Styela clava: one gene and its partner. The protein of the gene in region 2 purifies or fractionates together with the protein of the main gene of each other region. This does not show direct contact. Links are inferred from orthologs where the notes say so. Each region holds a gene or a part of one and is shown on either strand. Other genes may lie near its edges.

Region 1 (3,935 bases), on a different chromosome or scaffold from region 2:
CTGAGTCGACTCATTAGCAATTGCAATTTTTAAATCTAACATCGCACCATATATTTCCCCAATTTCAAACTGAAGTTGTCTGCATATTAAAAGAAAAAATTGAGGATTTATCTCATTCAAAACTTGAGTAAGAAGGTCTATCCGTCTTTTATGCATCTTGCATTTTCTCTCTTTCTCTGTCTCAAAGAAAATCAAGTGTTTATACAGAGCACTCATGTCTTGCGTCAGCTCAATATTATCTGTGACAAAACCATCCATAACAAAGAATTCAAGAGCAGAATCAACATATTTTTTCGCTATTAGGAACACTTGTCGACTTTCTTCAAAAGTGGTGACTGGTAAATGTCTCGCATTCTCTTCTACAGAATCAACTTCAAGAGGCATTCTGTCATGATCTTTGGGTACATCATTGTCATTTTCCTCATTTAATTGTAGTCGTAGTATAGCTTCTGCTTGTCTATTAACATCAAGTTCACACACATCATTATATAAGAGTTCCTTTGAGTAATCCAGAAGAGCGAGAAAGTACTTCACCCAACAACGAGCGATATCTGCTTTCTTCTGTGGTATTTCATTTCTCAGCATGATCGTCTCATTATCATCATCAGGTTTCGGCTCAGGTAGACCTTCCTGAGGTTTTGCTTCTTCCATAATGACATTGGCACAAGCCAAACAATGTTTTGCTTCACGATACATATTTTGACAAATGTAATATTGTGATAGGCCAGCAGAATTCACAGCCCATTCTTTTGGATCATACTCTTTTGATTCCAGTTGACGTCGTAAAGTTCTTTGACAATATGCAGCAGATAGATCATTTTCATCACTTTGTTTGTACATCTGTGCCAAGTAAAACAATGTATGAGTGAAAATCTTTTCAAATTTTGCATCACGTTGCATGTCAGTGAATTTCTCTTCCTTTGGACGCAAACTTTCATCAATAGCGAAAGGAGAAAGACCCACTTCATGCTTATATTTATTATAAAGACTTTCAACTTTTTTAAGGTTGAACATTGCCTCGTCTCGGCCTTGATAACGGCTAGCCCATACTATTCCAAGTTCAGAATATGCAATCATGGCAATGCTAACAGCCTCTGGTCTCATTAAAAGTTCATCGTCTTTCAGAAGAGCAATACACTTATCAAGACATTCTTCTCCAGCAGGTCTTTCCTCAGTGTGAGTGTAATTAAATCCTAGCTGATATTGTATCGCAGCTTCTAAAATTTTCATGGATGGGTCAGATTCATTTTCTTCTCGTTCTTTATGTATTCTATTCAATATTTCTTGCAGCTTTTCTCTTGCTTTGTATTTTGACTTGAAAGGATCATTTTCTGGATCTTTTAAACTTTCTTCATCAGTTAAAACTCGTACACTGTTATATGCATCGTATCCCTCCGACTCAAAATATTCAAGAAGTGTCTGGGGTAAACTGAATTCAAAATTCATATCCAACTTCCTTATATATCTGTATATTAAATAAATCTGAAATATAGTACTAATTCTTCTGTTAAAAAAAATGTATTTTAATGAGTAGGCCTATAGGCACAACGACTTTTGAATGGTTTGCTCTGCAGCATTTTCGCCACTTAACTAAGAAGAAAGTAGAAAAAAAAGATCAATATTCTCAGATTCTGGAAACAATGGGACCAGTGAATGTTTACAAAATGTACTATTACTGGGGTCTTGTGTAGTTTCGTACTTCAAGTACTTCTAGTGGGCGTAGCATAACGATTTTCGCATATGTCAATCCTAATCCCCATCTGACTATGGCATCCAGAAATTATGTCACTACGACATCACAATCACTTCCTTAATAGAGCTTGTCAGAGTATAGGGGGATCACCCACAATGGCATCTGCGCCGCCGCCAGTCATATCGGGATCGTTGCAACGCAAAAACAAGAGAAATAGCTTGCTAGATTTTAGGTGACTGTCTGTGTGCTTGAATGACAGTTTGTACAGTTTGAAGGGCCTTGTTATGTCACTTTGACGTAATTTTCGAATGACGCAGCGAAGTGTTGGTTAGGATTGACAAATGCAAAAACTGTAAAACTACGCCCACTAGAAGCATGCTACTTACGGTAGCTATATTTGACAACGAAGAAAGACTGAATTGTAATCTAATAAACGCTTTCGCAAAAAATTAGGAACCTGGCTACCTTAGATTCATTTTTCGCTTACTTAATCTTTTTTTAAACAATATTTTCTCGTCCAATTTATTGTATTTATTTAGTTTAAAGATTTTTCATCTGATTCCGTGGTAAAATTATATTTTAATCAGCCTTTTCAATTTTTATATATAGCTATAAGTGAATCATATATGCGCTTGGAAATTATATTCAATGTGTAAAAATATTCTGGTTGAAATTGCTGCTAGCTCCACAGTGGTGACGGAAGGTTCGAATCACAACTATGGTCATACATAGGCTTACCATACGTCACGGTTTAGCCAGGACAGTCCCGGTTTTAGCCTGTTTTTCCGCCGTCCCGACATATAATATAAAAATTCACAACATGAAATTCTCTCACATCCAATTATTAAAATGAATTAAGAACACTGAAGTGCATAATGAAATTTATTTAGGTTTTATCTTCAGAATTACCCAGTTCATTCACTACAGAAAAGCATATCTACCTATTTAAAATATGCACAAAGGGGCCATGAATAATTGTTCATTTATTTATCACTATTACGAGACGAATAAACATACATACATAAAAAAAAATTGGGAAAACAAGATCACACTTGAATAAATATAAAAAATACGACAATACGATGCATACCGGTACTATTTGCCGAAATTCCGGTACTCAAAATATACTTATATTTACCGTAGGCTATATTATACTGCATCGTATTCATCTCAACGAACTCGCGGAGTGAAGACTGAAGTAAATGGGTAATAAGAATTTTTATTACTCTAGCGCGACATCTCGCGGGGATGATAAATCGAATTTATCGAACATCGCAGTAGTCTCCATTCAGCCGTTTTCGTACTTATGCCTAGCACTGACGTGGCTGCCTGTTGAACAAGGTTTCTGCATTGGCATACTGGCTATCGGTGTCGTTTTTGTTTCACATTTCTGAGGTTTGGAAATCTATAAATTACAATATGGTAAGTGATTATTATGGAATATGAATCTATGATATGACCACCAGTTTTGGATTCAAATTATGGTCCGATCTAACTTAACCTGACTCCATATAACGTTACAGATATAGGCTAACGCAATCTGGCAATGTTCAATTGTTAATTAGTTGCTGTTACTGTGTTGAGATGGATTGCTTATATTTTTTTTTCAAAACAGTGTTAAGACTTAACTCCATGGCTATTATCTCATTCAGTCCTTCAAATTAATATAAAATCTTATTTCTATATATCAACTCCATTCTTCCGAAAACAAATACCTGGTTAACTAATCCCATACCCGACCTGGTAACCGAACGAGAGGCGGGTCTAGTATAGTTTAGTACCACAGGTACTTCCAGTGGGCGTAGCATAACGAATTTTGCATATGGTATTCCTAACCCCCACCTGACTATGCCATCCAAAAATTACGTCACTAGGATGTCACCATCACGTGATATGGCTTGCCAAAGTATAATTACAATCGCCCGAAATGGCATCTGCGCCGCCGATAATGAACTCGCTAACGCCGACGATCTCTCTCTTATGGTGATCGTTGTGAGGCAAAAACGAGAGAACTAGCTTGCCCGATTTCGGGTGATCGTCCGAGTGTTTTGGACGACCATCTCCATACTTTGGTGGGTCTCATTACGCCACTGTGACGTCCAAATGACGTAATTTTTTGGTGACGTAGTCAGGTGGGGGTTAGGATTAACGTATGCAAAAATTGTCGAGCCAGGCCATCTAGAAGTGCATGTGGTACTAAACTATACCAGACCCCGAGAGGCCGTGGTTGGCCATATGATTA
Region 2 (3,935 bases):
ACTCCACAATAGCGAGCATAAAATATTTAGATAACAAAAATTACCATAATCCATTTACATTACTAGAACAAAGTTTAAATCCATCATAGCCATGAAGCAAATGAAATATTCTTACTTTCTAAACATAAATATAGTATTGATTGCGCAAAAAATCAATTCAACAAATTCACCTGATGACTGTTTTATAGAATCAAATGAAAAATCATAAGAAAAATTATGATCATTCGATCCATCTGAAACCAATGTTCCATTTTCGTTCATGAAAACCACTTGTTTTGCATTCGCATCTTCCTCCCTGTCGGTTATAAAGCACTGTTTTATAGGTTTGTCCAGAACAAATTGAATACAGGTACATTTTAATCAGTTACGTGAAATAGGCCCATTTATATAAAAGATTTTCCAAATTGAAGAAATTTTCTATTTGATGTGTTCAGCATTAAACTTAACATCCGTCCAAAAAGGAAAAAAGAAACATTATTGTCTCTGGCATTTCTACATTTTAGGGATACTTAAAATTCATAGTTATCGCGCACTTTCGATTGCTGAATTGAAAAAAAATTTAGAATACAATCAAACTAGCGCTCGTGGACATCCTCGATTACCATCTCATTTCATCACTATAATTTTATTTCAATGATCCAGTCAAATATGCCCGTATTCTCTAAAAATTTGGTTTCACTAAATATCCGTATACAAAAATAAAATATTTACTTCTGGCTGAACGGCCGCACTCTGACAGCAACAGTGACGGAAAAATCTTCTCGTAAATTTTCTTTGTCTACGTTCTGAGCGAGACCTGAAAACATATTTTTAAAAATATAAATGTGCTAAGCATTTTCAAATATTAATAATTCGTCAGCAAGCAGAAAAACAAGCGTCGCGACTCGCGAGCATAATGAAATATTCTGAAGACAATGCTTTATACTTCAGACTGTTAAGAGCATCATTGAACATTTACAGGAAACTTTTGTATTTGTATATCTCTGTTTCTGTGAAGTACGGTATGTATTGGAAAAGCATTCTAGATTATACAAAAGATGGAAAATAAATTGCTACAAAACTCATAGAAAAAAAGTCGACTAATATACATAAAAATTAAAAAGTCATCATCATACTTAATGCAAAAGATGATCTTCCTCTTTTAATTGAGTTGCTTCCACCAAGTCGACTTGCTAAATTTTTTCGAACAGAGGTGGGCTTGTTTTCGTGTGGATTATTGCGCCCAGTTGGGTTCCTAGAGCTCGGAGAAGGTGGTTTATCCTTAAAGATATCATGCGATTAATAGGATACATTAATTACCATAATCAGTTCAGTTTGTAGTACAAGGTAATTACGGTATGTCATTTTAAACAAAAACACAACTAAAATTTTGTCAATCAGAAATATAAAAAGACAACGAAAAACCACAACACCAAACTTATGACAACACAGTGCTATATCAATCAAGAAACAATTGATTTATTTCCCCAAAAACTTCAACCAATTCATTCACTCCAATCTACTTCTATAATACGAGGTTGAACTTGTAACAGAGTAACCAGAAAATATCTGTTTCATTGTATTTTAAACTGGAAAAATATCAACAATTGATTTCAATTTTCCAAACAAATAAAGCTGGTTTCAAGATCCAACTTTCAAACAGGATCCAAAACAGCTTGCCTAAGGCTATAATGTACCTAAAATAAAATAACTACGGTACATTAGACTTTTATTTACCTGAATATTTTTAACCATTTTGCGAACCATATCATTTGGAATCGATTTGAATGAAGGACTTGCAGTTACTCCAATTTCTGTTTCAGGCGGCCTACGTTTCGGTGGCGTGCCATGATAAGGGCTCATACCAGGTGTCATTTTTTCGGGGAGATGTTTTTTGATATTCCTTCTAGCTATAGGAGAGCTCTCATGGTTATCTTTAGTGTTTGCTTGATCCGCATGACTTTTTCGATGATGTCTTGCAAGTGAGCTTGTAGTTGTCGATAACACAGACGATGCACACATGAAATTTGTAGGAGGAATTTTAGGACTTTTCGTTGTACCTGAGGTACTTGAATTTTTCTTATCGACAGATAATTTTGTGCTCAATTTTGATGAAGTCTTAACAAACCCCGTGTTTTTAGAAGTTGTTGAAGTCGGTGTATTGTTATTTTCCTTGTCTAAATTGACTTTAAAAAACTTTGGTGATCTTGATAGATCTAGTGCATTACCGGTATCTGTCCCATCACCATATTTGACAGGGGTTGATGTCAGAGATGATTTATATTTTCTGTTAACTGTAACGGAAGTGTGTGGTGATCCTTTTCTGCTAGAAACCTCATTTGTGAATGCTTTACGTTTTTGAGTTATCGCTCTTGAAGACATTTTGTATATCAATGGTCTACACAAGTAAAATTATGTAAATGTGATTTTTGTATATTCTTTGTAGCAATCAGATTTAACTCAACCAGGTACATATTTTTAAATCTAATTCTATTTCTGAAAAATGTTCATTTAAAAATAATTTCATTAATTACCAAATTAGTGGTGCAAATAAGAATTTAAGGAAGCAATCAATTATAGCGTCCTGGGAGGCTTACTAAAAAAACGTGTCCATTAAAATATATCTGGATTTGAAGCGGTTGAAAGAAATGAGCAATGACTTGACCTAATCCCCAGCAAGATTCGCACCTGCCGAGCATATCCCTATCACAATAGTTAGCGCAATGCACCACCATGCCGAGTTGAAACATGGTCACCAAGATATTTTACAATTTGTAGTTCATTTTGTTTTCACTGTGCATGGTATCGTTTAAATTTTATGAGCATAATGCGCCGCACGAATTTCCACACGTCGTCATTTACGATGTGTGTCATACAGTCTGTACAGTACAAAGAGAGTGCAGAACCCCGACAGTCTAGGCCTTGATCTACATGATTAAGTTAAATTAGGATTATATGCATGTAAACATCCATGTTCAGATGTAGTACAAATAACATTTTTATCAAAATTTTCTTTTAATTGTTAGATCTTGACATAAGGCAAAATCAGCGTTCAAAGTTGAGCTTTTTTGGGAACGGCCGAACGGGGTCGTGAAATACTGGAACAGATTACCATTAAATGTGAGAATAAGTGCATCTGTGAATATTTTCAAACACTATTTGGATAAATACGGAGATTCCCAGGTCAGTGTCCAACCCAAGGACACTTGGACAATACTGGGAATTGTCAAATATCAGAATATTATATTGGAGAGAATTAGATAATGGTTTTCGACATTTGTGTATTAAAAATGGGTTAGCACTACTATTGGGTAATTGTCTAATGTCAGAATCTCCTTTCCAGTGCTTTTACTAGTCATAATTTGTCTAGTCTTAATTCTGTAATTGTCTGATTGTAGTAATTGCCAATTTTTGTGATACATTGTTGTTATACCTGTATAGATGTTTATACTGTGGTGTATTTATATTGTAGATTTTGTAGTACTACAGTACTATGTGTGATACCCAAAGCGGTACCGTATTATTTATTTATCAATCTGTTTATCTAACTTACGGTACAGCTTCATAACTTTTTTTGGCTGCCTTTTTTCACTGAAATAAGCAATCAAACATAATAAGTTGAATACCCCGTATCTGCAACAAGGATATACTGATATAACTTATATGTAGGCTATATTCAGATATTGTTTCAATCTATGAATGTCTGAATGTGGAAGCGTTTCATATTTCCAGAATTTCTGTATTTACAGATTTATCTAACTTCAGAACTAACTACAGAACTAACAGAAACTTCAGAATGATAAAACAGCTAACGGTAAATCATACTAGTGAATAACGACCTTTCAATAAGCTTCCTAGTTCTTAAAACGACAGCCTAACCTCCCAAATAGGTGATCGGATTTGAACAAAAATGATACCCTAACCAACAGAAAACTGGAAAACCACCGAACTACGGA

The links.
Region 1: the proteins of kinesin-like protein KIF14 (region 2) and KIF-binding protein-like purify together in Homo sapiens (affinity purification with mass spectrometry; 3 studies listed by BioGRID and IntAct, counting the BioPlex papers as one, with this or other methods). This does not show direct contact. The link is inferred for Styela clava from reciprocal best matches to the Homo sapiens genes KIF14 and KIFBP.

Annotation. Positions count from the first base shown.
Region 1 is NC_135253.1:7,647,949-7,651,883, forward strand, and holds the start of KIF-binding protein-like, read right to left. Parts: upstream 2,890-3,935; 5' UTR 2,832-2,889; intron 1,505-2,831; 5' UTR 1,447-1,504; coding exon 1-1,446. Other genes in the region: coatomer subunit delta-like, read left to right, coding at 3,113-3,115. UniProt on the Homo sapiens protein: Activator of KIF1B plus-end-directed microtubule motor activity. Required for organization of axonal microtubules, and axonal outgrowth and maintenance during peripheral and central nervous system development.
Region 2 is NC_135254.1:17,309,757-17,313,691, reverse strand, and holds the start of kinesin-like protein KIF14, read right to left. Parts: upstream 2,469-3,935; 5' UTR 2,362-2,468; coding exon 1,717-2,361; intron 1,261-1,716; coding exon 1,116-1,260; intron 797-1,115; coding exon 712-796; intron 296-711; coding exon 171-295; intron 1-170. UniProt on the Homo sapiens protein: Microtubule motor protein that binds to microtubules with high affinity through each tubulin heterodimer and has an ATPase activity. Plays a role in many processes like cell division, cytokinesis and also in cell proliferation and apoptosis.